Arabidopsis thaliana: one gene and its partners. The protein of the gene in region 3 binds, or shares a complex with, the protein of the main gene of each other region. Each region holds a gene or a part of one and is shown on either strand. Other genes may lie near its edges.

Region 1 (8,986 bases), on a different chromosome or scaffold from region 3:
TCATGGATATAGGATGCTATCGACGGTTGAAAATGTATCTGAAAGTGGTAAATCGATGAATCTATACTCTGCTATTAATCAAGCTCTTCACATCGCTTTAGAGACCGATCCTCGGTGAGCTTTTCTCGCATTTTTCAATCCTAAAGTCTAAGGTACATTTGAATTGGTTTTTATAATGTATTTGGAGTCACTTGAGTGAAGGTCTTATGTTTTTGGGGAAGATGTTGGATTTGGTGGTGTCTTCCGATGTACAACAGGATTAGCTGAACGTTTTGGGAAATCTCGAGTTTTCAACACTCCTCTCTGCGAGCAAGGCATTGTTGGCTTTGGCATTGGTTTAGCTGCAATGGTCACTTCTTCTCTTCTTTTGTTTCTTCTGTTTACCTCTCATTGCTATCACATCATCTTACTGGTTACTTATTCGCTTGCAGGGAAATCGAGTTATTGCGGAAATTCAGTTTGCGGATTATATTTTCCCGGCTTTTGATCAGGTAAAAATGCTACCTTTACCTTTAAACCAAGTTATGATGACGCATGAGTTCTCTTTATGGAGTTTTGTGATTTCGTAGATTGTTAATGAGGCTGCAAAGTTCAGATACCGAAGTGGAAACCAGTTTAACTGTGGAGGTAAACTCATATCTTCTTGTGCCTTCTTGGTTATGAGACACCAAGTTTTTACTCATTGGGGTTTATGTGACAATTGTAGGACTCACTATTAGGGCACCGTACGGAGCAGTTGGTCACGGTGGACATTACCACTCGCAGTCCCCTGAAGCTTTCTTTTGTCATGTCCCTGGTATCAAAGTACATCTTCTTACTAAAGCTTCTTCTTTCTCTATTTGCTTCATATTCTTAGGTGTATATGAAAATTGCATGTTTTGGGTAGGTTGTTATTCCTCGAAGTCCACGGGAAGCTAAGGGATTATTATTGTCATCCATCCGTGATCCGAATCCCGTTGTCTTTTTCGAACCAAAGGTACTACTTCTTGAGTTATTTTCAACTTCAAGAACCTGTAAAAGAGTCTTTGATCCTTTGTTCTTCTTCTTCAGTGGCTATATCGTCAAGCGGTAGAGGATGTCCCTGAAGATGACTATATGATACCTTTATCTGAGGCAGAGGTATATAGGTTCCATTTCTAGTGTCTCTTCTTTTAGTACACTTCTAAGACTAATAAATGAAAACTTTTTGTCACAGGTTATGCGAGAAGGTTCCGACATAACTCTTGTTGGATGGGGAGCACAGCTCACTATCATGGAACAAGCATGTCTTGACGCAGAAAACGTTAGTTTTTATGTTTTGCACTTAATTAGTCTTTGGCGATACAGATGATGAAACAAAATGTTTTTGCAGGAAGGAATATCGTGTGAATTGATAGATCTCAAGACTCTGATCCCTTGGGATAAGGAAATCGTTGAGACCTCAGTGAGAAAGACTGGCAGACTTCTTGTAAGTTAAGCTTCTCTGAGTGAGTATCATTGTCCTAAGTCTCAGAGAATAAATGTGTTTGCTTACTTCGGTTGCAGATTAGCCATGAAGCTCCTGTTACAGGAGGCTTTGGGGCCGAGATCGCTGCAACTATAGTTGAGCGTTGCTTCTTGAGGGTAAAAACAAGTCATATTTGTCTACAGCATTATAATTTTTGGTAACAATGTCTGGTTTTCATATTTGCTTACATGTCTGGTTACTTTTGCAGTTAGAAGCACCTGTAAGCAGAGTTTGTGGCCTGGACACTCCTTTCCCTCTAGTGTTCGAACCTTTCTACATGCCAACCAAGAACAAGGCAAGTTTTGTTTCTGGTCTGTATCTTATACATATATTTTCGTTTTTGTTGCTAATTCTTCCCTGGCTCACAATTTGATGCAGATATTGGATGCAATCAGATCCACTGTGAATTACTAGCCCATCTTAGCATTGTACACATGATTCTCTGTCTCCTATCTTCGAAATAATTATTGATGCTGGTGGTTCAGACATGTAATGGATACTGTAATCACCACTTTTGTTATTTAATCTATGATCTTGAAACTCTCCATCTTTGTTCACAATCTTGGCCAATCTCTATGATAAACAAGACTTTAGGGCTACACACTGAGTTAAGGTTCTACTTGTAACATAAGTGGAAATGTGAGGACACTACAGCAACATACATGTAAGACATATCTTGGAAAGAAAAAGAAAAAAAATAGAACCGAAGAATTGTCTTTAGAATCTCCATTGTGTATATACAATGTTATATTATGAACCAAAACACAAGGTGAGAGTCTAGCTACTGTGAAAGCCTTTGTTCAAGGGCAAAATTCTCAGCAAGCTTTAGCAACTCCAAGGGGCTAAGACCGCACAACTAGTTTTGCAGGGAACAAATCCGTGACCCTATAAAAGATAAACACAACAATTAGGTTCATGCACGAATAAATCGAGAAATCAAACATTACTAAGAAAGATGAGGAAAGTTGACGGGTGTGTTACATACTATTGCTGTATCTTTCTGAATTCCGAGAGCACGGGGTATATATTCTCAAAGGCTTTGTAGGTCTCATCTCTCATCTGATAATGAGTGATCTCAGGATTTTTTCAGGTGACAGAAGAGCTAGAGACTAGAGAGAGACATAACAAGTATTATCACAAAACCTAAAGAGAAGTGAGATATTACCTTGGCTCCTGTTATTACGATCTTCCCAGAGACAAAGATTAGAAGGACGATTTTTGGGACTTTCATCCTATAAATCAGCCCTGGGAAGAGCTCGGGCTCATACTAACCACACGCCAATATGAGAGAGAGGTAATGGCCATCAGCACAACGTTTTTATCTCTAAAAGTCGGTCCTTGACTACTAAATGTATAAGTTAAGATCACTCACACTTGAGAAAGCAGCGTGAGAGTAAGCAAGACCTTCAAGTCTTATAGGGAATTTGACATCACAAGAACCTACAATATTCTGAATCTTGAAATCCTGCAGGATGTAACAATTGAATATATTTAGTATAAGCAAAAGTAAGAAAAAAAATGTTGGATAGGGAAAAGGTTTAAAGAAATTGTACCTTGAATTTTGCAGGGAATCCCAATTTCTGCACAATCCTAGCATACTAAACAATAAAACATCTCCTATTAGCATAAACAAATGAGGAGCAAATAGCATACTGCAATTATTGCTAAAGTAAAGAAGAACAGATCTATAAGAAAGTTAAATTAAAGAGGTTAAAGATAAAAAAAATCTACCTTTCTAGCAGCCATCTTCGAAAAGTCCTCGCTCTTAGCTCCAGTACAGACCTAATTGGAGATTAGTCGCCAAATTCAGAAGAGAATTCAAACCAATGTAATTAAATTTCAGAATTATGAAAAAGTATTGCCAACCAAAATAACTATACCATTTTCCCTGAGGCGAATATTAATGCTGTAGTCTTCGGTTCTCTGATCCTCATTATCACCGCAGCAAAACGCTGGAAACATAAAACACAAGAGGTATTACATAAGACGAGCTTAGCTAAGGCAAATTAGTTTAGCAAAAGCCAAAAACAGATAATATCTTAGATTCTAATTAATCAGTACACAGTATATAGACCAATCAGATCTCAGGTAACAATAAGGTCAACTCAAGGAGAGAGTACTCTTCCAAACAACTTTTCTACCGTTTATTAAAACAAAAAGTCACAATATAATGCAAATACCTTGGGATTATATTCAGCATTCCGAGCCTGCAAAGCTATGGCTTTAAGATCTAGCTTGCAGTCTAAGTTCACCGTGGAGACAATGTTTCTGAAACAAAACATCAAAGATGTCAACAGGGGTCAAACAAACACTTAATCCCAAGAGACAAAAAACAAATACGAAGGCACAAAAGAACTCACTGAAGAGTAGGAACAATCCCTGAAGGATGCTTGCTAAGATCAACTGGATTACTCCCTTCCAATCCTTGATCAGTCATTCTTCTATAGTTACACAAAACCAAAATCAACACAATCAAAATAAGCAATAGCCAGAAAATATAATAGACACTAGACACGATCCAAGACAATATGCTTAAAAGTCTTATCAGATAGACTTATCATTCAAAAGGGTTTCAATTATTTGAGAATACAGAGCCAATTTTAGATTTCATCTTCCAAAACAACGAGACTTATCCTCTTAAGGTGATGAAACTCATAAGATCTAATCGAAAAAACTCAGGAAAAGGATTAAAGGTCAGACCTTTGGATAGCGAAGAAATCCGAAATCTAGGGTTTCGTAGCTTTAAGACGAGAAGGAAAGATTCGAGGGAAGAGTTTGGGCGAAAGGAAGCCGAAGAATTGAGAAAAGGAGAAGCCTTTTATACAAAGAATTGAGAATCGAAGAGGGAAAAAGATTTATAAATCGGTGCTTATATAAGGGGAGAGTGAATTTGTTTCTCTCGCTTCTGGTTTTTAGATCTGTGAGAGAGAGGAGGTCATCGACTTGCGTTTCGGATTTGGGATCCTTAAGCCCCTTTATACCTATATATACATACCCATGCTACCCTTGACCGTCCTTGTTACATCGAGGGTAATTTTGGAAATTTATGCGGTAATGCTACGATGACGGCTGTCTTTCGGTTTTATGTGAAAGTCCACTCCTTTTCGGCCACGTCAGCTTTAGTGTTATAACGCTATTATATTTTTGCATATTTAGCGATTTAGTGAACATTTTTTTTCAAGTAGAAATTTATAATTTTTCATTGATTTTTTCAAATCACATAATGTGGAATTGAAAATCAAAATTTCACATCAGTTAAAATCCACTAACCAATAACCCCACTAAATCAAATCACTGTTACGACTACACCACCAACACAAAACATGATTTTCATAAAAATTAAAACACTAGAGAATTCTTGGTTAAACAAAGCATGCTTATGAGATCTCTAGCCATCTTTGTAGTATCAGCGCCATTGTTTCTCCATAAGCGAAGATAAGGATTTCGAAAACTGCGAAACAAACGATGATGATGATGTCTCTTTGTCCTGGCTCTCCTCATCCTTGTCTCTCCAGAACTTTAGGATAACGAGATTCTCCTCTTCTGTTGATCTCTGAACTACGATTCTCGAAGCATAACCTTTCTTTCTCATCATCAGACAAATCTCTGCTGGGAAATTTGAAGTTAATGTCACTAAGTAGAACCATCCTTTCTCTGATAGCAAAAGATCAACCACAGGCAAGATTTTATCGATGACTGTCCGGCCATTTTCCCCTCCTGCCCAAGCAGAGGCAATACCTTCCATTCCAACTTCATATTCAGGTGTTGGCACATAAGGCGGATTCACCACAATCACGTCGACTGAGCCAGCAAGTCTCTTCTCTAGACCAGTAGCTAAATCTGCGCAGATAACATCAGCATTAACTCCATGTGCTTCTAGAGTTTCTTTTGTCACTCTTGTAGCTATCGGGTTAGTGTCAATGGCGAGATAATGAACACCAGGAACTTCGTTTTGAAGAAGAAGTATAAGTGAAGTTATGACATATCCGCTTCCGCATCCAATCTCCATACAAATCTTAGGGTTGTGCTCTATAAGGTTGGTGCGATCAGCGAGTAATGCATCAACTAGCGCAAATGAATCATCACATGGTTCATAGACCTCACGATGCGAGCTTACAAGACGGATAGCAGCAATTCTTGGTGGCATCTTGTAAATGACTTGACTACTAAACAAACAAACAAAAACCACACCATTACAAGTTAGAAGGTTTTAACTTTGAGAAGGTGTATTCCATATTTCAAATATAAACAAGCTTGCAGTCTAAAGTTCACCATAGACATCAAACAAACACTAACTCTTAAGAGACTAAAATAAAGACAAAGGCACAAAAGAACTCACTGAGGAGTAGGAACAATCCCTGAAGGATGTTTGCTAAGGTCCATTGGATTACTCTCTTCTAATCCTTGGTCAGCCATTCGTCTAAAACAACAGACAATCAAACTAAGCAAAAGAACTCAGAGAAGATAATTGCCACTAGACACGATCCAAGACCACAAGAAAACTTATGCGTAAAAGTCTGATAAGATAGCTTCATCAAATGGGTTTCAACTATTTGGGAATACAGAGCCAATTTTAATTTCATCTGCCAAAACTACGACACTTTTCCTCTAAGCTATAATACCGATACGAGAAATCATATCTGAACGATTAAACCCATGAAAAGGATTAAAGGTCAGACCTTTCGATAGCGAGCAAATCCAAGTTTTGAACACGAAATCGAGGTTTTCGTAGCTTTAATACGATTATGGAAGATAAAGAATCTGGCTTTATGAGATGGAGGCTCAATCGTAGCCTTGAAAGTCGTGCCCTTCTCTCTCTCTTGAAGACAATTTCCGGTAAGTAGATTTAGTTTCCTTTTTCTTTTTGTTCCGATCTGCTCTTCATCGTCGGTTTGAAGCCTCTTCAAGGAAGTCCAGGAGTGAGCCGATGCTTGTCTCCGTCAACGTGTGGTGTGGAGCTCTCTCTCTGATGTGGATTTGGCTCTGGTTTTGTCGGTCGAGAAGGTTGCGGCGGGGGTCTCTTGGTTATGGACGCTGAGGGTTGCTGCGAGGTTCTCAGGCTCACCCGTGATTCTAGTCGCTGCGTCCACGGCGGAAGTTGGAGAGGGGTAAGGGGGGGTTCGTTGTCTGATGCGGTGGTTAACAGTAGATCTGTTTGGATCTTAGATGGCTGCAGCGGGTTTTGGATCTAGAGAGTCTGACTGAGCCACCAGTCTTTAGGTCTGCCGTTTTTGGTCTCCACCGGTCCGGATCGACGTGTGTTTGGCTCTGGGTCTTTGCTATTTTCCGGTGATGGGAGAGAAGTGTTATCGCTGAGTGTTTCGGGTTGCTAGGTCGGGATCCGGTTCCGTGGAACCGCTACGTCGGAGCGGCTAGCTTTCCGGGAGTCTTGTGGTGGGTTGGTGCGTTGGAGTTGAGTCTCTACAGACGAAAACCGGAATCTTTCGTCGGTGGTGGACGATTCTCGGAGGCGGCCACAAAGCTGTGGGACTTGAGTCCGCCGGATCTAGGTTTTGGTCGCTCTGCTAGCGACGGTCAACAGGCGGCGAGCTTTTTTCTTTTTCCTGGCGATGTGTCAGAAAACCCTAATTTTGTAACTGGACCGAATTGTTTGTAAGTTTCGGCCCAAGCCCATTGGGTAGTTTTAATGAAATTATAAAAAAAAAAAAAAAAAAAAAGAATCTGGCTTTTTGTAAAACGCGGTTTTGGGTAGTCTTCGAAATCTTCAATTTTATTCAACTAGTAAAGAAAAAATCTCAGACGAAAGATTTTCACGAAGAAGAAGCACCGGCTACGGCGGAGGAGAAAAAGTGGAAACTTGGAATAATGAAATCAAGCCTACAAGTTTCAATAATTTACACTTTAGCCCCAAAACTTACAAAATCAACATAATTGAATCTTCCCATGCGTGTAATGGGCCGAAAGCCCCTTAAATTAGTGGTTGAGATATAGCAAATACACGTTTCTAATTTCAAGCTTTGAAGTTTGATCTTGGTCGATATTATCTTCATAGAAATTGAAGGATGGGATCTTATGAAAATGTTCACATAGCTCCTTTTAGTTAATCATTGCAACAAATCCAGCCTTTTGCAGGAGGCGAACGGCTGACTTTTACGGTGATCTTCTTTCCTTTGTGAATGTCAATCTCTCTACCTTCTTCTTCTTCTTCTTCATTGGCTTGTTACACGTTAAAACTATATTACAAACCTCATTTTAACACCATATAATAACAATATTTGCACTTATGCAGTTATGAAGACTTACTAATTTTCCGGTTTTTGGAAAAAGGAACGACGGTCGAATTGGAAAATGTGATGCATAAAAGTAGAAGCAAAGCTATAAGAATGAACTTGAGACTCATTTTTCTTTCTTCCTCTTTCTTCCCGGGTATATATGTATATAACATCTTATAAACTATAAATTAGCTAGTGTTAGACTGTTAGGCAGAGATTATATATATCAGGGTCGTTCTCATTACAGTTGGTGTGATACTGATATGTATACGTCAATGCATGCAATGAAAACATATTGACTTTCTAAGTCTTGTCTTTTTTTCCTTATTTTTGCATTTGTTGAAAAGTCCAATGTTAATCATATCATCATTTTGGTGAGAAAATGAAAAAGACCTTGTTGTCACTCAATACTCGATTTTAAATCGTATAGTGAACTAAATAATAATTTACATATCGAAGTTTCATTTAATTTATTCGAAGAGTATCACACACAATGAAACAACTTTACAAATAATCAGAAATCACAAGTTAATAGATTATATATAGATTGGATCGCTAATTAAGATCGTTACATGTCATAACTTAGAAATGATCTTCGGTGGACCGCCTCCGTGAGGAGCAGGTCTAGAAAAACTGCCTGTAAAGCCAATCTTCATTCCTTTGCTGATGTGTATATTTCCAAGCCATTTTCCTATTTAAAATTCGATTAACCATAAAATAAATTTCCTATTTTTTTCAAGAATTTATGTATATGTAAATTAACAATTGTATATTTCTATACAAATTAAACAACAAAAGTGTTGCTAGTTTGTAGTTATCATTTATTGATCGAAAGCAATTATTAATTCTACAAGATCAACTTTTTCCATACATCAAAGAGTTTTACGTGGCATATGTATAGATAATAGATCCACGAATTTGATCTGAATATCTATCAAATAACAACTATAAAATAAAAGAGATAGGTAATGGATACTTACTTGTTGTGCGAGTTGGATAAGTAACTTTAGCCAAAGCTGGGTTTGATGCAATAGACGAGAGGAGAATCCAACCAATTAGCAAAACCAACTTCCAATTCATCTTTTTAAGCTTTAGGACTATGCAAAGACTTAATGGGTGGTCATATAAAGAGAAAAACTTGATGCGGTGGAGTTGTTTATTACATATTTACAACAAATGATGCTTCTAAGAAATAACATTAATTATATAAGAAGATTTAATAAGTTTTTGGACTTTTGTTTTATCGATGAAGTTGCTTGAGATTGCT
Region 2 (9,917 bases), on a different chromosome or scaffold from region 3:
AATTCTTGGATCAAGCGGAGATGTATGGGGAACGTGTGTGACACGAAGCTCGATGATGAACAACTTTCCAAGTTAACTTCTTTGCCGCCTACCTCTGAACTCAAGTTGCGTAATTTTTTCCATTCTAGCTCACCAAATCTATAGTATTTTCGTTTTTTTCGTTTTTGACAATTTATTATCGTTTAGGTTTCATAATACTCTGACCAAAAAGAAGGCTTCCGTAATGTTTACACAATTAATGAAGTAACTAGATTTTAACCCGCGGTGTACCGCAAGAACAATATATTTTTAAAAGTTAGTATACATAAAAGTTTGTAAATTGTATCTATCTATAAAATATTTTTATTTTATAGTTTACAATTGTTATTAAGTAACGTCCTGCCAAACCCCTCCCGCCAATCCGTCCCGTAAAAAAACCATTTATTTTATTAATATTGATCTTATTTATAATATGTTTATGAATTATTGTCTAAATATTTTGTAATTTTATAGTAAGTAAATGCTATCATATATCTCTGCGATTTGATGATTATAATCGAATTGTTATAGTCATGGAGAAAAGCAATATCAAAAATGATAATTTTGTAGTAATTAAATGATATTAAATATTTTGAAAGTTTTATTTTAGGAACTAATCGTGTAGTTAATGTGGAGAGATTTAGGGAACATTGTTAAATGCCAAATATTTAATTCGAATATTTTTTTTTTAATTATCAAAATCAAACATTAAAATCCAGTGACAGCCATTGTAAATAAGTCTCAATTACAGGATTTATTTCACAAAATGGCTGTAAAAATGTATATGTACATTAGTTGTGTATAAACATTAAAATGCTGTTGAAGTGGCGGTGTTATGGTAGCGAGGGTCTATCTTCGTTCTTGAGAGATGAGTTTTTTGTTTGCCTCTAACAGTTGGCAATATGAATAGGAATACGAGGCTTAAGCTAAGAAAGTGTTCAATTCATAGAGAATTGGATTTCGCATGTAAACGGCCTAAATTGTATTTATAAATCTCTAATAAATAAAAAACAACTCTTGTGATATATCACATTTTTCTTTTTCTTTTCATGTAGAAAGGAGTTGAAAGAAAAGTAGGAACAAATATGCTCTTTCTCTGACACTCCCTTTTTGGAGAAGGATCTACACAGGCCAGAGATACTAACAGGCTCTCACACGTGCAACCGTGATACACGTGCGTCTCACTTTCTCTGAATTGTACAAGTTCAAGTAACGAAGCAAATCTCAATCGAATCCAAAGACAAGGACCTCCACGTGGGATTCTTGAGGAAATCTTCAAAACGACTGAATAACCAAAATAAATAATGATCTGTAGAGTACACATATTATTACCCCTTAAATTTGTACTTAAAATTTATCGACTTTCTTAATTACATGAAATGATCTATAGAATTTCATATAATCGTGTATATCATTCTTTGTATAATAGGTACAATAACACAAATTCATAAATTTATATGCAAATATAAGGATCATCCATCGGCAGTGAAATCAAAAGGGCTCCAACTTCCAAACAAGAGATTGGTGGAATCATTGGATTCGTCAGCGAAATGAACCACCGGTTCGTGTACAGCCTGAACCGGAGTCACGCCAACGTCTACATGGTTATGACCAATCAACAAAGCATCAGACCAAACACCATTAGTGTCTAAAGAGAGAAGCTCTTCACCAGGAAATGGAGGCAAGCCATTATAACCACATTCCTCCACAATGTGTTCCACCGGATTAATATAATGATCATGATGACCATCATTGATGTCCATACTCCATGAAGGGTCCATGGAAGTGCCGGTAGGATTATCTACCAAAAAATCCGTAGTGGCTAAGTCGCAATTTTCTTGTAGTATAGATTCGTCAGGCTTTGGATTCAAGAAATTGGCGTAAACAAGAGCAAGATCGATGCTTGGTGAACCACCACCGGGGTTGCCAGAATTAGCGGTTAGGCTAGTTTTAGTATTGTTACCAGAAGATGATTTGGGGCGGCGGGATTTTCGACAGCCACCGCCTACAGGAACATTGCGGAGGGAACCACCTTTGGTCCAATATCTGCGGCAGCCTTTGCAGAAGTAGCGAGGCTGAGTGAGGCTATAGTTGTTGTAGTAACAGAACTTTGTGTTAGAGGATCCACATCTTGGACAACTCGGCGTGATCTCCGCGTTTGCGTTTGCGTTTGGCCGCCATATAAACGATGATGTCAAGGCCTCTGCTCTCTCCATATCTCTCTCGCTCTTCTTTAGTCTATCGGAATACGAATGTATTATATACGCATGCATGAATGTGTGGGTGAGAGTTTGTGCATGTGGAGAGTTTGAGACGCGTGGAGGCTAGAGAGTGGATGAAGTTTGGGGGAGCAAATGCCTCGTAAGGGTGCACTCACTGTTGCTTCTTGGGGGAGACAGGGTTAAGGGTTTTGAATCTTTGATAGATATTTAAATACTAGTATTTGTTTTTTTTATCATAAGATATGAATAAGAAAATAGATCGTCTTGGAGATTGTTTCGAAGGGAACTAAGAAGCCTATGGCCTCTTTGGAGAGATGGGTTATTGGGTGTACATTGAGCTATTTGTACGGCTTAGTTTATGGATGCTGCACGATTAATATATGTCTTTTAAAATTAATAGAATGTACTTACAATCATATTAAGTAAAATATTCATATCAATAAGTACTAAACCATGAGTTATCTATATTGCAACATTTTCTATTCACATTATATTCGCGAGAGGACGATGAATATTTGGCCAGAGTCGTTAAGAATCAGAACTTGTAGATAACGAATCATAGATAGTCATAATTATATAATAGTATATAGTATGAAAATGGTATGTAAGGTATGCGTAACGATCTGTGAATAGAAACTATAGAACGAGAAGGTGAAACAAGAAGACACAAGTTTTGAAGAACAAGGACTGTCTCTATTTGTCTACTTATTTGACTTGAATTTATTTGATTTATTAACCCACAGAAAAATGGGGATTGGAAAGGAAAATCTGAATGGGATAAAGAGCTTCTTGGATCATGTAAATATTGGCAATCTCCAAGAATTCTATGTAGTAGGTCTTACGTTTTTCTATATATTTGTATTCTAAAATTCCTGAAATTAGATCACCATCACACTACATGTTGGTTTTAGAGTAATAGCTTTACTTCTCACCAAAAAAAAAAAAAAGAGAGCAATAGCTCTACATGAGAAACTCTTTGCACATTGCACAAAAAAAGAAACTCTTGCAAAACTTGTTGAACATTGACGATAAATTTTGTTTTAGAATATATAGTAACATTCATCAGAAAGTCTTGCATAAACATGATGAACAACAATGATACAGATTGTTATATAGCATATCAAACATTCGATTTGCTATTAGTCCTACTAAGTCTCCATTGCGTCACTCTCATCAACAACCATCTCAATTTCATTTTCATAACCCATTTTGCACTTGAACTCTTTCAGATTCGCCTCCCACACACTATAACTCGAGTTCTTCGCTTTAACATCCAAAGAAACCTCCTTCTTCGTCACCAATGTATTCGCATAACTCTCGAATGGAACAATCTTTTCCCGTAACAAAGATCTCCTCTGGGGATCACTACTCTCTTTTCTCGCCTCATCCAACCACTCTTTTGCTTGCTCAAGCTTAGCCCAAAAGCAAGTATCTTGCGTTGTGCTCGCGTATCTGCTTCTCACACACTCCTCAGGCACTTTAACTCCTTTCTGCCATTTATCAATCACCTCATACCTTTTAGGTCTATTCCCCTCCAAGTAATGCCCGCCAGTCTTTATATCTCTGTTTTTGTAGAAATTCGCAATGTCGAGTGGCTCGGCTAAGAGTTGATAAAATTGAGATGCGTAAATCCATTTCTTTCCTAAATGAAAATCAAAAGGTAACTCATTCGTCTCCACCATTTTAATCACTGTGTCCCAAAACTTAGCTAGTCTTATGCGACTCATGTTCACTTTAAAGTCTCTCTTCAACGAATATCGTTTGAAGAAATCGTAGTAACCTAGCTGCTCTTCTGATGCATCGCAACGATCTTTGTACCATTGAATCTCGAGTCTTGCTGGCAAGACACTAGCAAGCTCATTGGCTAACTCAGCTGACCTCAGAATAGGAGCCCGAACAATTCTTGTAGCTGTTTCTATACATTCTTTGACTAAAACGCCACTTGTGTCATCGTTAGAGAAACCTAGAGCTTCAACGGCTAACGCAACACCAGCTTGGTAGCTATTGTCGGGGATACTCCCACCAAGAAAGCTTCTAGATTTAAGAAACATGTGTGAAAGTGTGAACACATAGTGTCCGTACCTCTGATGTTCCTCGGTGTTTTGAGTTGCTGTGGTGTTGAGGATATTAAACATCAGACGAACAGAACCAGCGTTGTCTAGACAGACACCTCCTTTGTCGGAACAGAACAAGTAAGTTCCAAAGGGCCAGAATTGTTCATTGCTGCTTCTAGGAACGAGGTCGTGGATGGAGACCACGTGGCAGAAGTTGTGTGCTAAACGTGATCGTGAAATTGAGGTGGAGAGAGATTGGTTTCCGAGCAGAGGAGAGCCAAAGGTGATACAAAAGACGCGGAATGACGGCGGAGAAGATTGAGATAGAAGCCAAAGTGCGGTGAAAGCGGCCAATGCGCCGCCGGTTGAATGGCCGGTTATCACCACCAGCTTTTTACCTAACAATTCCAATTCCAATCCTTCCTTGATCTGCACGTTAATGCAGTCGACGTTACTGTAAATTGGTTGACTAACAAGAACAAAACTGATTATAGATTACCTTCCTTCTGAGTGTACAATTTCCTCTAATAATGTAAACTGATTTAGAGACTAAATTTGCCAATTACTTGGTTTAACCAAATTTGAATAAAAATCAGTTAAGACACCTCTCTAGACTTACCATTTTTACAACTTATATCTACATTAATGGTCACTTCTTGTTTTTTCTACTCATCAAAACCAATAGGAACTTGTTTTTGTTCAAGATTTTCATATCCTTAGAGACAAAACAAAAACTAAAAGTATTCGACGAAAAAGGGAATAAAATACATGATGGTGACACAATAATCATGGGTTAAAAACTTTTTGAGCGCACATTTATAAACTTCGCCGAGGTGTGTTAAAGCATAAAGCGTAAAGCTACCAATTCCATTAACATTTTTTGTTTTTTTTGGTGTCAAAAATACCAATGACGTTTCACTCACTAATTAGTAAATTTTTTAAATCACTTGGGCGGACGGACGTGATGGCATACAAACCAAACTTTCAATTGACTTGCTTATGATATCCAAAGGTCGCGACAATGACATATTCCAAATGGTGGATTTGGAATAATTGTGTCCACGAATCTTTTTAGAATTTCTTACAAGAAAATAATTTTTATTTATTATCTATTGTCTATTGCCTATTGGGGTAGGTGGTGGTGATAGTTTATAATAATCTTTTAAAAGGACAAAAAAAACCTCCATTTGGATTATAATTCATCAAAATTCAGAGGACAGAGATATTTAAATAAAAAATAGTAATGATCATCAGTTCTACTAAAAAGTACTAAAATACGTAAAAAAAATAGTAACTTTAATAGGTAAAATTCGTTTTCGCAAATCCAAACGAATAAAACTTATGATAGAATTTTGTTTTTTTTTAAAATCCTTTGTGAAATAATTTCCCATATTAGCATTTAATGATTTTTGTATTTTTCTCTCGAGGTATTATTAATTGAAATTCAAATATCCACATGCCTTGAAGATAATAAATAGGTTAAATTGCATCCAATAGAAAGAAAAAAAAACAGAGGAAGAGAAAACAAACCTTTAACTGAAGAAAGAGTTTGAGTATGGCAGCGTCGACCATAGGTAGAGGTTCATCGGAGGATAAGCCGGGGAAAAGAACATCTCCGGTGACTGGCAAGCCCACAAGATTCCCCAACTGAATCATCGATACCGCCGGTATAGCAACGTATGTAATCCCGGCGATGTCATGGATCTTTATACTCCCGTTGCAATTTGCGGTGTTGCATGAACTCCAAGAATCGGTAAATAAAGGAGTCGATATCATTACCGAAGCTTGCAACTCACTCGTCTCGAATCGACAATCGTCCATGATTGGATATCGAGTAGAGAGTTGCAGAACGATGATGTTTATGAAGTTGTAAATATATTACAAGCAAAAAGAAATTATCTATGTATCTTCTTGGCTTGTTCCTATGTAATTTCTTGGTTTTGGTCTTTGCTAAGTCGTCTTCTTCAAAGTCTCTTACTTTAACATCATAATTTAGTAAAATTGTACTGGTTTTATAAAATAATAATAAAGAAATGCTGTGAAAGGTAGGTCCATTCTCATTTTTTAATCATTGTGTGTAGAGGACAAAAAAATATGTAAATATATAGTAGAAGAAAATGCGAATCAAAGCATGTGATCCTATGTAATCGGAATGGTTTAGACTTGAGCATAAATTGACAACTTTTGATATGCAGAAACTTTGGTAAGAGTTTATCTATCTATCTTTCATGGAAATTGCAGAGAAATCAACCTACATTTGACTCAGACATTTTGAAGTTTTTTTGGCTAAGCTTTTAAAAGGAACCAATTACTTTCAGTTTCAGCTTAACATGATATAGTTATACAATTTGGCCCATATAAGTCCTACAAGTTAGACCCACCATGACTTGAGGAGATTTTTAAGTTGTGGTCTACCTCTACTAGAGAGATATAGATACTTGTTAATGAATTTGATAATTTACTGTTTGGAAAGGTTTATATCTAATTTAACAAAAAAACAAAGCATTGAAAGGTCCATGCCATTGTCATCTTTTAATCTCTGTTTGGGATCTTTGTGGAAAAACCTAGAGTACAAAATGGGGCAAATTATCAAAACAAAACAAAAAAGGTTTGAAGAAGAAATATCTGATGATTAGGACTTAAGCATGTATTAGAAAACTCTTGCCTTAACAAACTGATAATGATAAAAGAGATAATCTGAATCCTAAATGTCAATGAAACTATCCAACCGGACAATAATCATTGCAAAGCTACCATCTATAGTAATTTTCATGTAATTTTCTGGTTTTGATATTTTCCTGAATTGGAGTAAATATTCAAATTAAACAATGAACTTCTATAACCAAGTCTCTCCATTAGAGACTAGTAGTACATTTTCTTGGTGTTTTCTCATATGATGAAGTCAGTCGTCGTCCAAAGTTTTCTCAACTAAATGATGTTAAACAATCAATCTGACACATCTTTGTATCACCACATGTTATCGTCTCCCTATACTTATTTAGCTAATCTGCTTTATCTATAAAGCAATCTTGTAATTGTCAAGTTTGATATTTTGCTCTAACATGCTTCTTTTCAAGAGATACGTATAATCGAATCATAACTTAAAACAATTTAAGTACTTATCGGATTCCTAATCTCTTCTTCCACCTTAATAATACAGCTCGAAACTTTATACAAAATACGAAAAACGGTGTAACAAATCATGTATGAATATTGATTAGATTAATGATTCTGTTATGCGATTGAACTACAATAACAGATTCAATATAGCAGACTTTTCCAAAAATTGATGACAAATAAACGATCATGACTCAAAAGAAATTGCTCAAACTGTTATGATTAAGAACACATGGATTCATCAGTTACATGAAATGGATTGAAATCAGTAAATCTCTTTAATCTGATAAAACCCTAATTTTACAAACCCTCTTTGGATGTGGTTGCAGTAGCGGCGGTGTCGAAGTCATCGGGGTCTTTGGTTGGGTCAGATTTGTCGATTGAGGAGCGGAATTTATCGAGGAAAGGCTTGAAAGCGATCTCTATGGCTAACCATCCTAACGCCATCGCTGCGACCACCACAGTCGCCTGTTTCGCTCCCGAAGTTTTTCCCATCGCTGCGTCGTCGTCTTGTTCGCGTGTCGGTGGTATCAACCGATGGTTTAAGATCGGGAGATGGGTTTTACTAGGATGTTTAAAATGGGCCGGTTTGGGCTTCTCATTGGATAAAGATAGTTTGTTTGTTAAACTATGGCCCAACTTTTTATCCGTCTATTGGTTAATTAATACAAACTTTTTATATAATTGTAAATATAATTGAAAGGATCCCTATTTTATTTTCTTGGGAATATATATATGGAAAAAAACAATCAATAGAATTAGATAAATAGTTCAATATATCAACAATTTCTTTTTTGTTAGGATAAGGAACTTTTACCTTTTTTCTAATATAGTTACAAATTGTGTTTTTTTTTTTCTTAATTTATTATCAAATTTCTTTTTTACTTATATATAACCTCCTTTTTCATATAGAGTTATTAACTTTTTCATTTTCTCAGTAAATGTATTAACAAATTTAGACTTAATACATGAAGACATCTAATATTTTTATTGATATGTGTCGTGAACTCGTGACATGTTAGTTAGTAATTTTTATAAAAAAAATTTAGATAGGTTAAAATTATTTGATATGTGTAGGGGTGTCAATGGGTCAAAATTTATTGGTCAACTCAACTCAACCCATAAACCCTAATGAGTTGAAAATTTTGACTCAAATGAGTTGATGGGTCAAATGAGTTGATGAGTCAATTGGTTTGATGAGTAAAATGAGTTGGGTTGTAATGATTAATGGTTTCAATGGTTTACCCAATTAACCCATCAAGTTTTGTAAAATTGAATTAAACCAACTAAAATTTCTAAATCAATGTCAATTTAAGTCTAACCAACACATCTAAACCAATTTAATAAAATTAATATTTTTCCAAATTTCTTAAATATACATGCGATGAAATTGAGAAAAAGTAAACTCGTAAATTTTCCACCAAAAAACATAAACCCGTGATTTTCCCGCCAAAAACGTAAATCCGTGATTTTCTCGCCAAAAACGTAAACCCGTGATTTTTCCGCCAAAAACGTAAACCCCTGATTTTTCCGCCAAAAACGTAAACCAGAGATTTTCCCGCCAAAAACGTAAATCCATAATTTCCCGCCAAAAACGGAAACCCGTAATTTTTCCGCCAAAAACGTAAACCCATAATTTTTTTCCAAAAACGTAAACCCGTGATTTTCCCACCAAAAACGTAAACCCGTGATTTTCCCGCCAAAAACGTAAACCCGAGATTTTTCCGCCAAAAACATAAACCCGTGGTTTTCCCGCCAAAAACGTAAACTCGTAATTTTGACGCTAAAAACGTAAACTCGTAATTTTCTCGCCAAAAAACGTAAACTCGTAATTTTTCCACCAAAAACGTAAACCCGTGATTTTCCCACCAAAAACGTAAACCCGTGATTTTCCCACCAAAAACGTAAACCCGTGATTTTCCCACCAAAAACGTAAACCCAAGATTTTCCCATAAAAAACGTAAACCCATAAAAAGTAGAATCCGTAAATATCCTAAGTTTGATGATAATGAATTAATAATGATAATTATTTATTATTATTTTATAATAGTAATTAAGTAAATTATTAATTAAATGGGTTAACCCATTTAACAACTCAACCCATCAAATTAAATGAGTTATGAGTTGACCCAACCCATTTAACAAAATGAGTTGAGTTAACACATAACTCATTTAACTCTAAACTCATTTGATTATGAGTTGGGTTGAGTTGGGTTACCCATTTTGACACCTCTAAATATGTGTCTCTAGCCTCTACTATTTTTAAAAACTAAATTTTATATAATAAATTTTTTTATCTTAATAATAACCAAGTTGAACATATTTTAGTTCTAAAATTAACTACTCGGTTTAATATTAAACTTTAGACCAGGACATGCCGGATAACATGGTCTTAGTGTTGTCGTACGTCACCATTAGAGTTTCAATTTGCATAATACAAGGTGGTTGACCCAATAAAAGAAATTTGATTCAATTTCGATATAAACAGGTTTGTTTTGGTTCAGTT
Region 3 (11,576 bases):
AGAAGAAATTGCTTGGAAGAAAAGGGATTGGAGTTAATATAATTATCTTCGTGGATTGTGGTCCATTCTCCTCCACTCACACTTTAATCATATGATGAAACATCTTTGATAAATTTCCAAATACAAACATAATTAAAATCCTATAGTATGATATATGCTTCTCCGGGAAAGTCAAAATGTTCTATTGAATGTGTTAGGCTTACTGTTTACATAAAACATAAAACTTTGGCTACTTATTCCATCATTTATGCTTCGTCTTTATCTTCGTCTTCATCTTCGTCTTCATCTTCTTCTTCTGTAGGCTTGTTAACTGTTCCAATGGAAGCGTGTTGAAGAAGGTACCCCTTTTTTTCTTACTCTGTTTCTTGTTTCTTGTGTTACAGGCTACAATTTTGCGTAGTATACAAGAAGTAGAACTGATACAAATATTCTGGACATGACTCTAAAAGACAGATTTTAAAAGTTCAACAATCAAATTATAGAAACTCCATTACTCATTTTGATATCACATAGGAAAGTAACAACAGAATATGGTTTATTCACTCTTGGGTCTTGGCCTTAATATGTTACATAGTTGCAGCTTCGTCTCTATATGCATAATCAGATTGGAAGCAAAATTGAAAATTATGCGATATCATTTCTTACATAGCTACAAAGCCATATAGCCAGAGCCGTCCCTAGGGATTTGGTTGCCACAAGCAAAAATATTTTATGGACCAACTAATTATCCCTCTACATTACCATGTTCAGAGAATCTTATACCAAATCCTTTTAATATGAAGTATCTGTTAGATGAAAGTTGTATATCAACATGACCGTAGTTGACTTCAGCTATAGAGGAGAATCCAGAGCCAAAAGAGTTTCAAACAACAGATTTCATCCAATCTCAGACAACAAATTTTTGAGAACAATTTTATTGACACTTTGTCCCTTAAATTTATTTACAAAATTCTTGTGAAGATGTGAGCTCATAATTCTCCACACCGTAGTTGAGGTGATCCTTGCTCGAGTTAGGAAAGGATTTATGGAGAAATAATCCTCAAACTGTAAGAAACAAGAAAATAAGTATAATGTGAGGATTCAGAAATTAAATTGTAATAGTAATGACATAAGCTCAAAACAAATGTGCAAGCTAAGAAAGAAACAGAGTACTTGAAAACAAATAAATGAATTCCATCTGCCAATTTTGAGAAATCTTCATTTTGTTAAAACCATTTGCGTGAATTCCATCAGTTTTTTTGTATCCACAACACGACTTGCATTTGAAACAATTGTGACGCTTTGTGTTAAAGATTATTCGGAACTAGACTAAGTTGGTTTATGGACTTTGAAAGATGCCTAAAAACTTTGCAGGTGTGGCTACAAAGCAAGTCAGTCGTTCGTTGTCTCTCCATAAACAAAAGAGAACTATTATACATCAAAAACTTAATTCAGGTCCACTTTAAAACTTTGTGCCTGACAGAAATTAAAGGAATCGTGATAGTAATGAAATAAGCTTATCACAAACGTGCAACCACAGAAAAGAAACAAAACATTTTAAAACATTCACATGAACATCAACATCTTCATCTGCCATTTGAGAAAATTATGTTCATTCAGCTTATTGTAATTAAAAACCAATGGCTTGAATTCCATCATGACTTGTTTTTGAAATAATACTAACAATCTAATTATCCCACAATTTATATAATATCAAAGTCTTTAACCAAACAGTGAACAACATTGATGGCTGTGAAATTGATCAACTGAATAAAAAGTCTATAACCAGATAATCAGAAATTCAAAAGTAACTTCGCACTCTTCAAAGTGTTCAGTCACATTGCCTATACCATCATCGTCACTATCCCCACGCTCTTCACTCTGATTACTCTCATTGCTTATATTACTGTCTTCGCACTCTTGAAAATGATCAGTCTCCCTGCCTATATCACTATTCTTATCCTCGCTCTTCGCTCTGATCAGTCTAATGGCATCCATCATTGTCTTCATCGGCCTCACAAACATGCTGCATAGTGTTTGGATTACCATGTCGGTTCTTCGATGATGACAGTCCTCTAAGTGTCGTATACCCCATCCGTTTAATATTACTCATATGAAGTGGTGTAGCTGCAAAAGAATCCAGTCGTCAATCATACAAAAAGAATGAGAGATGAATAGTCATTATGTTTAATTAATGCTTAATGCTTACCCGCATGCGCTTCTTGCTTCTCTCAGTCTCTACATTGTTATCTCCAGAGTCTTCACTATTTTCAATCTCATTAACAAGTCCTTGAACATGTGTATAATACCCCATATTGCCTTCTTCGGCTTGAGAAACATGTGGAAGAGTACTGTTTGGATTACCAAGTCGGTTCTCTGCTGATGAACCGGTCTCTAAGAGTCGTATACCCCATTCTTTTAAAACGACCGTAGATCTCCAATCTCCACTAGTTATATGAATATTTATATCCACATGATCATAGTTCAGTTGAGATAGAGGAACATTATCTTTGTATAGACGGATACGACAGTCAAATATACACAGATGAATACCCTTCTCAATTTCCATGAAATTATGTACCTCACCAAAGGAATCAAATTTGTTCCCAATTCTGCCTTTGAACCGACTATATACCCCGATATATACTCCATTGGAAGCACTTACCACTGCACAAACCCTAAATCTGAAGAATGGTTGAGAGAGTTGTGTGGGAAGTAGAGGGATGGGCAGAGAGGAAGACGTTCCAAATGGTTGAGAGTCAGATGTTCGGTAAGTGAAATATGATGGCACTTCTTCACCTGGCAATATCATGGAGTTGAAAATAATCGACTGTTGGTGAAGGACAGGTTCTCGATCCAGATTGACGCAATCCATGAAATTGACATTGAGGACGCAACTATCAGGAAGAGAAGAGGTGGTCTCCTCAGAAACTATGTCAGCATTGTCTGCCTTCATCATCTCCACCCCACTTGGATAGCAACTCAAATCAACTCTGGTCAATGCCCCGCAATTGGAAAAGCTAACTTCCCCAAGATGTTTGAGTTTAAAAATGTTTAGGGATACACATTTTAGCTCGCGGCAACCTTTCATAGTTAGCTTAGTGAGGTTAAAGAAGTTCTCGATCTGCCAAGGAACCTCTTCAATCCCAGTTTGGTCTAGATCGAGATATTTGATGTTGGTTGAGATATCAGGAAAGCGCTTCAACCGTGAGCATCCAAAGAGATTAAGGGAAACGAGAGATTCGAGGTTGATTCCGGTGGGTAGAGACTCCAGATTTCTGCAGTAACAAATGTCCAACCTCTCAAGGTTATTGAGATTCTGAAATGAGGACGAAAGCTCTACTAAATTTGGGATATTCCAGAGCTCCAAGAGGGTCAAAGTGGGAGACAGCATCGGCATGAAGGGCTGAACCAAATAAACAATTTAGAGATGTTAAACAAAAATCACCAATAATACAATTTACAGTTTGGGACTTTTCAATTAATTAATCTAAGCTAAAACAAATTCCATTACGAAACAAATTTGCATTTGTCATTTTGCATTCTTTGTTTGTTGATTGACTTGGTAATACTCAATGCAAGATTTACCTTTACACTTTGAAAAGAAAAACATATAATGGATTCTCATGATATTGGAGAGAACTACATATACCTTCACTCCTTGGCATTTATTCTCATCACTATCCGCTTTCCCCATGCTTAGCTCACGGACATTCTTGAAATACAAATTGGAAGGGTATTCTTCAATAGATGTTTCTGCCAGAATGAGATTTGAGATGTTGGTTGCGAATTCAGGAAAAGTCCTCAACTTCCAGCATTCATTGAAATTGAGGTAGTCCAGGGATTTGAGGTTGAAACCCGTAGGAAGAGTCTCCAATTCACCGCAGTATTCCATATTCAATTCCAACAGTTTATTGAGATTTCGTATAGAGGAAGGAAGCTCCACCAAACTCCAGCAATGTCCAAAGTCAAGTTTCTCAATGTTAGTGGCCTTTGAAAGATCTGGGATTTCTTTCAGGTATTTAGATGCCCACATATCCAATTCCTTTAGACATGTAAATGACTGTACTCAGACAAAAATAAACGCAGAGCTCAGTTGAAATTACACATCACGTCATTTAAAAACTACAATTAGCATTAACAATTTATTCTTAAACCTTACCATAGCTCCTTCCCACAGCTTCTCTAGCTTGCTGTCATGCATTTCGAGCTTGACGAGGTTTCGAAGAAAAGTATAAGGCATACATTTCAGTGGAAATCTATCCCAAATCAATTGTTTGGGTTGAACGGAATAATAGTTTATTTTTTCCGGTAAATGCACTTTGACTTCTTCTTCTATAAAAGTCTTCGAGGAAATATCCAAGAAAAGGAGATTACCCATCCCTTTGAAGGCATTCTCATGTACACAAAACTCACTAACCTTACTTGTATCCAATGATATTCCTAGCACCTTTCGAGTACCCTGAAAAATATGATATTAGTGAGATAGAGACAAAACCATACAATTCATGATTCATCAAATGGCACTTTCTTAACCTCGTATACTGAAAGTAGCACAACTAAAAAAAAGACTTACAATGCCTTCACTGAGTACAGTACGACTATCGTTTGAATCCACCAGAAATTCTCGTTCTCCTGGGTTGTCAGTGGACTGTGAGCGTACAATATTTCTACCCGTTTCTTGTAGCAAACGGTGCATCTCCACATGATCATTTCTGACATGAATAAGGGACTTATCAACTAGGTTTTCCAGTGCAATATTTACATCTAAGCCACTATCTGCGAGCAACAATTCAATGTCTCTGACTTTGACGTGATTGAAAAGACATGCGATAAGACGGAATAACGCTTGATCTTTTACGTTGCCTATCGCATCATAGCTGACTTTCAATGTCTCCTCAATATTGCCATCTAGATCATTTTGAAGCCTTGGCAACATCTTCACCCAGTACTCCTTTTTTCTCCCTCGTAGAGCTGAACCAAAAACAGTAAGACCCAAAGGAAGACTACCAGCAAGCCATGCAATTTCAACTACGAGCTCCTCAAAACCTTCAGGTGGAGAGTTTTCCCCGAAAGCAGACTGACAAAACATCTCTTGAGCGCGCTCTTTAGAAGGGAGACTAACTTCGTAAATATGATCAATTCCATGGGCCCTTAAGAATTGCTTATTATTGGTAATCACTATGATCCTGCTCCCACATCCAAACCAATTAGTTTTACCCACCAATGAATCTAGTACCACTAGATCATCCAAATCATCAATGATGATGAGAGTTTTCTGGTGCTTTAGCCTCTCTCCCAGTGCACCTAAATGATCAATCTTTATGTCTTTTTTCCCCAAAATTTCCGATAGGAAACATCCTTGCAAGTGCAACTTCATGTTCGGGTCGTCCGGATTGGCGCCCTTGTAAGTTTCTCTACTCTTATATACAAAAGCTCTGTCTATGAATTTGCTAACTGGGAAATGCCGAGAAAGTTGGTTAAACAGAGCTCTTGCAATGGTAGTCTTACCAATCCCCGAGGAACCCCATATACCAACCATTCTCACTTCCTCAGCTTCCAATTTCAACAATACACTCATATTTGCAATATGATCTTCAATGCCAATAGAGTTCTCAGCAGAATCCGTGGATGAAGTTAAAAGCAGTTTAGCCAAAACATCATTGGCTATTTCTTCAATCATTTTTGCTTCGTCATCCCTAATAAGGTGAAAGATAATTTAAGAAATATGAAACAACAATTTTATTTCAAGATGTATCTAATAATGAATTTGGTATAAAAATCATACCATTTGGCAGAATCAAATCCAAGCATATTAGCTACATCAGTCAACGCTTTCTTCCATTGATTTTTCACTTCCTCTGTTTGTCTCTTGCAAGTCTTTTCAAAGATACTTCCAAATTCACCGATTTGATACCTCACTTGGGAAGGATCCACACCGTAGAAAACCGGTATGATAATTTTATCATTGCAGTTCACAATCTCCAGCAACTCGTTAAGACACCAGCTCGACGAAGCGTAGTTTTTGGAGAAAACGACCACTGCGATTCTGGAGTCCTTGATCGCTTGTTCAAGATCGGGCCAAAGAGAGTGGCTTCTCTCGATCTCATTGTCTCTGAAAGCAGAGATCAGTTTCCGATCAAGCTCTTTGAGAAAGTGGCTACGGAATGTTACGCGGACGTCTTTCCCACTGAAGCTCAAGAAAACATCATAAACCCAATTGCGAGAAGAAGATGAAGAAGCCATAGAGAGAGTTAGAAGGAGGAAACTAGAAACGAAGACTTTGGAGATTGAGATTTTAAGAAGAGAAATAGAGGACAAGTAGTGAGTCTGTCTTGGTGGATATAAAACATTTAACATAACAGCTGAGAGGTAACTTGGCCATACAAGTTTTCACAATTATTTCTTAGACTTTTACTTGGCGGAAGTTTCCTCTTTGTTGACTCAATCGTCATAACCATATTTCATAGCCTCTTGTCTTTACTACTGTATATCATTCATTTACAAATTCTTAATAAAGATGTACAATACGAAGTTGCAAAACTTTTTACAAATTCTTAATAAGGATACAAGTTTTCGAAATTACCAAGCAATTCCACAGTAACAGTGAAAAGTGAAGCAACGTAATCATTATCCTACTGGCCACTGTTAAATCAGGAAACTGTGAACGAAGGAACGAGCAACAAAACATCAAAGAGTTTGATAAATATCTAAGGAGACTTTTTGGTCTTTTTAGGAGACTTGGTAGTTGGTAACATCTTAAAGCCTATGATATTTGAAAGAATTTGGGAGAATATCTATCACGAATTTTTAAAAAATGTAAATTACTTAAAGTCAGACACATCATCGTGCTTGACATAAAGAATAAGACGACATTGTCAACATTTTAGGTAGGGGAGGCAAGGCATTGAGTGGTGCGAAATTGTGCATAATATTTGTTTAATTTTCTTCCGAGTCTTTTGAAGTTTTGTGGTCAAGTCCACAAAAAACAATAAAAATACTGTGGAGGAAAACCAAATTTCTTTTAAAAAAAATCTAGTGTTAGCTTAGGACTTAGTTAAACACATGAGTTGGAAACAAAATAAAAGACTTATTAGTTCAAAATATTTAATTGTAAGATTCTCAATTCTCATATATAGACATGGTCTCAAAAGAAACAGAAAAAAGGGACAAATTGGACAATAATGGGTGTCACCATGTATATCTAAATATAGAAAGAAAAGAAAAATTAACCAATCAAATAAGAAGAACCTCTTCCAATTGATCTCCATTCTCCTCTTTTTTCGTCAGCCTGCAAAACTTTTGCAATGCGTCGTCTTTCCACCACCTAACGTGAGCCGATTAAGACTTGGCGATTTCTTCAATCATGCTTGCTTCATTATATATCCCTAATAAGAAAAAAGACCAATTCACAAACATTAGCAATTGCACCACTGTTGTCATACACCTTAACGAAAGTTTCCTCTTTTCTGCTGGATCTTGACTTAATCATCTCTTTTAGATTTGGACTTAATCGCCACCACTCAAGTAAAAACCATGTCCATAGCCTCTTATTCTTACATTAATATCTTGTCAGATCCGTAACCAACATTGGTCATCAAAGTGACTTCCTCCAGCTTTCCTGAACAATAACAATTGCAAGACAAAAGAATCATCAGAGAATGAAAGTTAAGCATATCATTAGAGAATCAAAACAAGCTTTCAAACGAATGACATAGGTGAGAAATGTCAACAGGGTTAAAGTAACAGTAAGCTTATCAAATCAAAAGCTAACTGTGTCGCAAGACCTGTAGGAGATTCACTTTCTGCCCATGTAAAAACGAAGTAACCAGAAACAGAATTTTGATTACCAGATACCACAGGGCATTGTCTAGATGCAAATTTTCATGTTCCTAACGAAGTTTGAAACAATCTAGAAAGCCTCAGACCTTTTTCAACTAGTGGAGAGTGAAATCCGAAAACGAATAAAAGAAAACTCAATTCAGGTACACTGTAAAACTTTGTTCCAGACAGCAAATTCTTGTGAACACAAATAACACAAATAGTTCTTCAGAAATTAAATCGTTATAGTAATGAAATAAGCTTATCACAAACGTGCAACCTAAGAAAAAAAACAAAAAATTATAAAACATTGACATGAACAGTACCATCTTCATCTGCCATTTGAGACAATTCCATTCCTTCAGCTTTATAATCTAATTAAAAACCAGTGGCTTGAATTCCATCAATTTTTGTAACTACATCACGACTTTTTTTTGAAATATATGCCTCATAATACTAGCACACATGTATCTAATTATCCCATAATAGATAATATCAAAGTCTTTAACCAAGCAGTGAACAACATTGATGGCTGTGAAATTTATCAATTGAATACAGCCAAATATCTATATAATAAAAAGTCTATAACCAGACAATCAGAAATTCAAAAGCATGCTACTATATATATGCTCTGTATTTACAATTGATGTGGAACTAAAATGAAATGGTTTATGAGTTTTTTTGGGTCACCTGAAAATGTCTGTCTAGCTAGGGAGACAATGAGGAATCTTGGGCTCTTCTTGTTGTTCCATAGAACCGGCAGCAAAACTACTCATTCCATCACCACAAAAGTATCTCAAAGATTCATTTCTTTTTCACATAATCTGCAAGCAAAAGAAAACAACTCAGTGATTTATAATATTAAAGATCCTGACGGCGAGATATCTGTTATTCTGTTCAGTTCTTGATTAATACTTACCTGCCATTGTGTACTGGTTCTCTCTGTCTCTACTCTCTTCATTGTATTCAATCTCATTAGTCACTCTGATCAATCTCATTGCCTATATCACTATCTTCGCACTCTTCAAAGTGATCAGTCTCACTGCCACTATCACTATTCATCACTGTCTCCTCGCTCTTCACTCTGATCAATCCCAATGCATATACCACCAGTATCGTCCATGTCTTCACATTCTTCACTCTGATCAATCTCATGGCCTATATCACTATTTCCACACTCTTCAAACTGATCAGTCTCACTGTCTATACCAATATCATCACTCTGTATCCACGCTCTTCACTCTGATCAGTCTCATAGCCTATCTCAATGTCTTGAGCCTCTTGGAACTTTTGGCACTCTCACCGTTTCACTGTCTTCACGAACATGCTACAGAGTATTTAGATAACCAAGTTGGTTCTCGGATGATGAACAGTCCTCGATGAGGCGTATACCCCATACTATTAATCTGACCGTAGAGTCACTTCTATACCTTAAATGAAGCTGTATATCCACGCGATCATAGTTCATTTCAGCTGGAGAAGCATTACCTTGGTATAGAGGGAAAGAGCACTCATATATGTCAAGGTGGTTACCATTCTCAGCTTTATAAAGCCTACGTGGTTGATTCTCAAATCCATCTTTGAATCGACAAGAAATATGGGTGACAAAATATGAAAACTGACCAGAAGATTTGCAACCAACCACTGCGAAAGCTTTAAATCTGAAGAACGGTTGCGAGGGAGAGGTGTGAGGTAGAGGTATGTTGGTTAGAGAGGTTCCAGTAGTGCGATGAGTGAAATATGAAATCATTTCTTTTCCTGACATCCTAGAGAACATGGAATCAGCTGATCGTTGCAGAAGGATAACGTCTTCATTCTGTTTACTGCTTGTCTCCGTCACTACATCACCTCTATCACCTTGTTCAGTCCCATTAACCAAATTTTCTTCATCCTCTACACAAACATGTGGAAGAGTACTGTTTGGATTACCAAGTCGGTTCTCCGCTGATGAACAGTCCTCTAAGAGTCGTATACCCCATTCTTTTAAAACGACCGTAGATCTCCAATCTCCACTAGTTATATGAATATTTATATCCACATGATCATAGTTCAGTTGAGATAGAGGAACATTATCTTTGTATAGACGGATACGACAGTCAAATATACACAGATGAATACCCTTCTCAATTTCCATGAATTTATGTAGCTCACCAAAGGAATCAAATTTGTTCCCAATTCTGCCTTTGAACCGACTATATACCCCGATATATACTCCATTGGAAGCACTTACCACTGCACAAACCCTAAATCTGAAGAATGGTTGAGAGAGTTGTGTGGGAAGTAGAGGGATGGGCAGAGAGGAAGACGTTCCAAATGGTTGAGAGTCAGATGTTCGGTAAGTGAAATATGATGGCACTTCTTCACCTGGCAATATCATGGAGTTGAAAATAATCGACTGTTGGTGAAGGACAGGTTCTCGATCCAGATTGACGCAATCCATGAAATTGACATTGAGGACGCAACTATCAGGAAGAGAAGAGGTGGTCTCCTCAGAAACTATGTCAGCATTGTCTGCCTTCATCATCTCCACCCCACTTGGATAGCAACTCAAATCAACTCTGGTCAATGCCCCGCAATTGGAAAAGCTAACTTCCCCAAGATGTTTGAGTTTAAAAATGTTTAGGGATACACATTTTAGCTCGCGGCAACCTTTCATAGTTAGCTTAGTGAGGTTAAAGAAGTTCTCGATCTGCCAAGGAACCTCTTCAATCCCAGTTTGGTCTAGATCGAGATATTTGATGTTGGTTGAGATATCAGGAAAGCGCTTCAACCGTGAGCATCCAAAGAGATTAAGGGAAACGAGAGATTCGAGGTTGATTCCGGTGGGTAGAGACTCCAGATTTCTGCAGTAACAAATGTCCAACCTCTCAAGGTTATTGAGATTCTGAAATGAGGACGAAAGCTCTACTAAATTTGGGATATTCCAGAGCTCCAAGAGGGTCAAAGTGGGAGACAGCATCGGCATGAAGGGCTGAACCAAATAAACAATTTAGAGATGTTAAACAAAAATCACCAATAATACAATTTACAGTTTGGGACTTTTCAATTAATTAATCTAAGCTAAAACAAATTCCATTACGAAACAAATTTGCATTTGTCATTTTGCATTCTTTGTTTGTTGATTGACTTGGTAATACTCAATGCAAGATTTACCTTTACACTTTGAAAAGAAAAACATATAATGGATTCTCATGATATTGGAGAGAACTACATATACCTTCACTCCTTGGCATTTATTCTCATCACTATCCGCTTTCCCCATGCTTAGCTCACGGACATTCTTGAAATACAAATTGGAAGGGTATTCTTCAATAGATGTTTCTGCCAGAATGAGATTTGAGATGTTGGTTGCGAATTCAGGAAAAGTCCTCAACTTCCAGCATTCATTGAAATTGAGGTAGTCCAGGGATTTGAGGTTGAAACCCGTAGGAAGAGTCTCCAATTCACCGCAGTATTCCATATTCAATTCCAACAGTTTATTGAGATTTCGTATAGAGGAAGGAAGCTCCACCAAACTCCAGCAATGTCCAAAGTCAAGTTTCTCAATGTTAGTGGCCTTTGAAAGATCTGGGATTTCTTTCAGGTATTTAGATGCCCACATATCCAATTCCTTTAGACATGTAAATGACTGTACTCAGACAAAAATAAACGCAGAGCTCAGTTGAAATTACACATCACGTCATTTAAAAACTACAATTAGCATTAACAATTTATTCTTAAACCTTACCATAGCTCCTTCCCACAGCTTCTCTAGCTTGCTGTCATGCATTTCGAGC

The links.
Region 1: AT5G46520 (region 3) and TBP1 share a complex: the UniProt entries of both Arabidopsis thaliana proteins name them as parts of the nuclear protein complex.
Region 2: AT5G46520 (region 3) and PAD4 share a complex: the UniProt entries of both Arabidopsis thaliana proteins name them as parts of the nuclear protein complex.

The regions. Positions count from the first base shown.
Region 1 is NC_003074.8:4,375,254-4,384,239, reverse strand, and holds TBP1 (TATA binding protein 1), read right to left. Parts: upstream 4,448-8,986; 5' UTR 4,187-4,447; intron 3,928-4,186; 5' UTR 3,924-3,927; coding exon 3,847-3,923; intron 3,755-3,846; coding exon 3,667-3,754; intron 3,439-3,666; coding exon 3,367-3,438; intron 3,269-3,366; coding exon 3,218-3,268; intron 3,085-3,217; coding exon 3,040-3,084; intron 2,952-3,039; coding exon 2,859-2,951; intron 2,754-2,858; coding exon 2,652-2,753; coding exon of another isoform or gene 2,589-2,651; exon of another isoform or gene 2,546-2,588; coding exon 2,472-2,545; intron 2,372-2,471; coding exon 2,371-2,371; 3' UTR 2,016-2,370; downstream 1-2,015. Other genes in the region: DIN4 (Transketolase family protein), read left to right, coding at 1-114, 202-349, 432-491, 570-627, 707-804, 887-976, 1,051-1,119, 1,196-1,282 and 4 more; AT3G13440 (S-adenosyl-L-methionine-dependent methyltransferases superfamily protein), read right to left, coding at 4,893-5,652, 5,826-5,902; AT3G13437 (uncharacterized protein), read right to left, coding at 7,548-7,663, 7,751-7,892; AT3G13435 (uncharacterized protein), read right to left, coding at 8,295-8,410, 8,700-8,799. UniProt on the Arabidopsis thaliana protein: General transcription factor that functions at the core of the DNA-binding multiprotein factor TFIID.
Region 2 is NC_003074.8:19,427,764-19,437,680, reverse strand, and holds PAD4 (alpha/beta-Hydrolases superfamily protein), read right to left. Parts: upstream 6,587-9,917; 5' UTR 6,116-6,586; coding exon 5,825-6,115; intron 4,724-5,824; coding exon 3,389-4,723; 3' UTR 3,231-3,388; downstream 1-3,230. Other genes in the region: AT3G52440 (Dof-type zinc finger DNA-binding family protein), read right to left, coding at 1,491-2,291; OEP7 (outer envelope membrane protein 7), read right to left, coding at 7,712-7,906.
Region 3 is NC_003076.8:18,862,489-18,874,064, reverse strand, and holds AT5G46520 (Disease resistance protein (TIR-NBS-LRR class) family), read right to left. Parts: upstream 6,450-11,576; 5' UTR 6,340-6,449; coding exon 5,768-6,339; intron 5,679-5,767; coding exon 4,556-5,678; intron 4,442-4,555; coding exon 4,142-4,441; intron 4,043-4,141; coding exon 3,632-4,042; intron 3,386-3,631; coding exon 2,189-3,385; intron 2,107-2,188; coding exon 2,089-2,106; 3' UTR 1,597-2,088; downstream 1-1,596. Other genes in the region: AT5G46510 (Disease resistance protein (TIR-NBS-LRR class) family), read right to left, coding at 8,855-9,003, 9,148-10,771, 11,018-11,428, 11,528-11,576. UniProt on the Arabidopsis thaliana protein: Disease resistance protein of the TIR-NB-LRR-type. Part of the RPS6 locus that contains a cluster of several paralogous disease resistance (R) genes.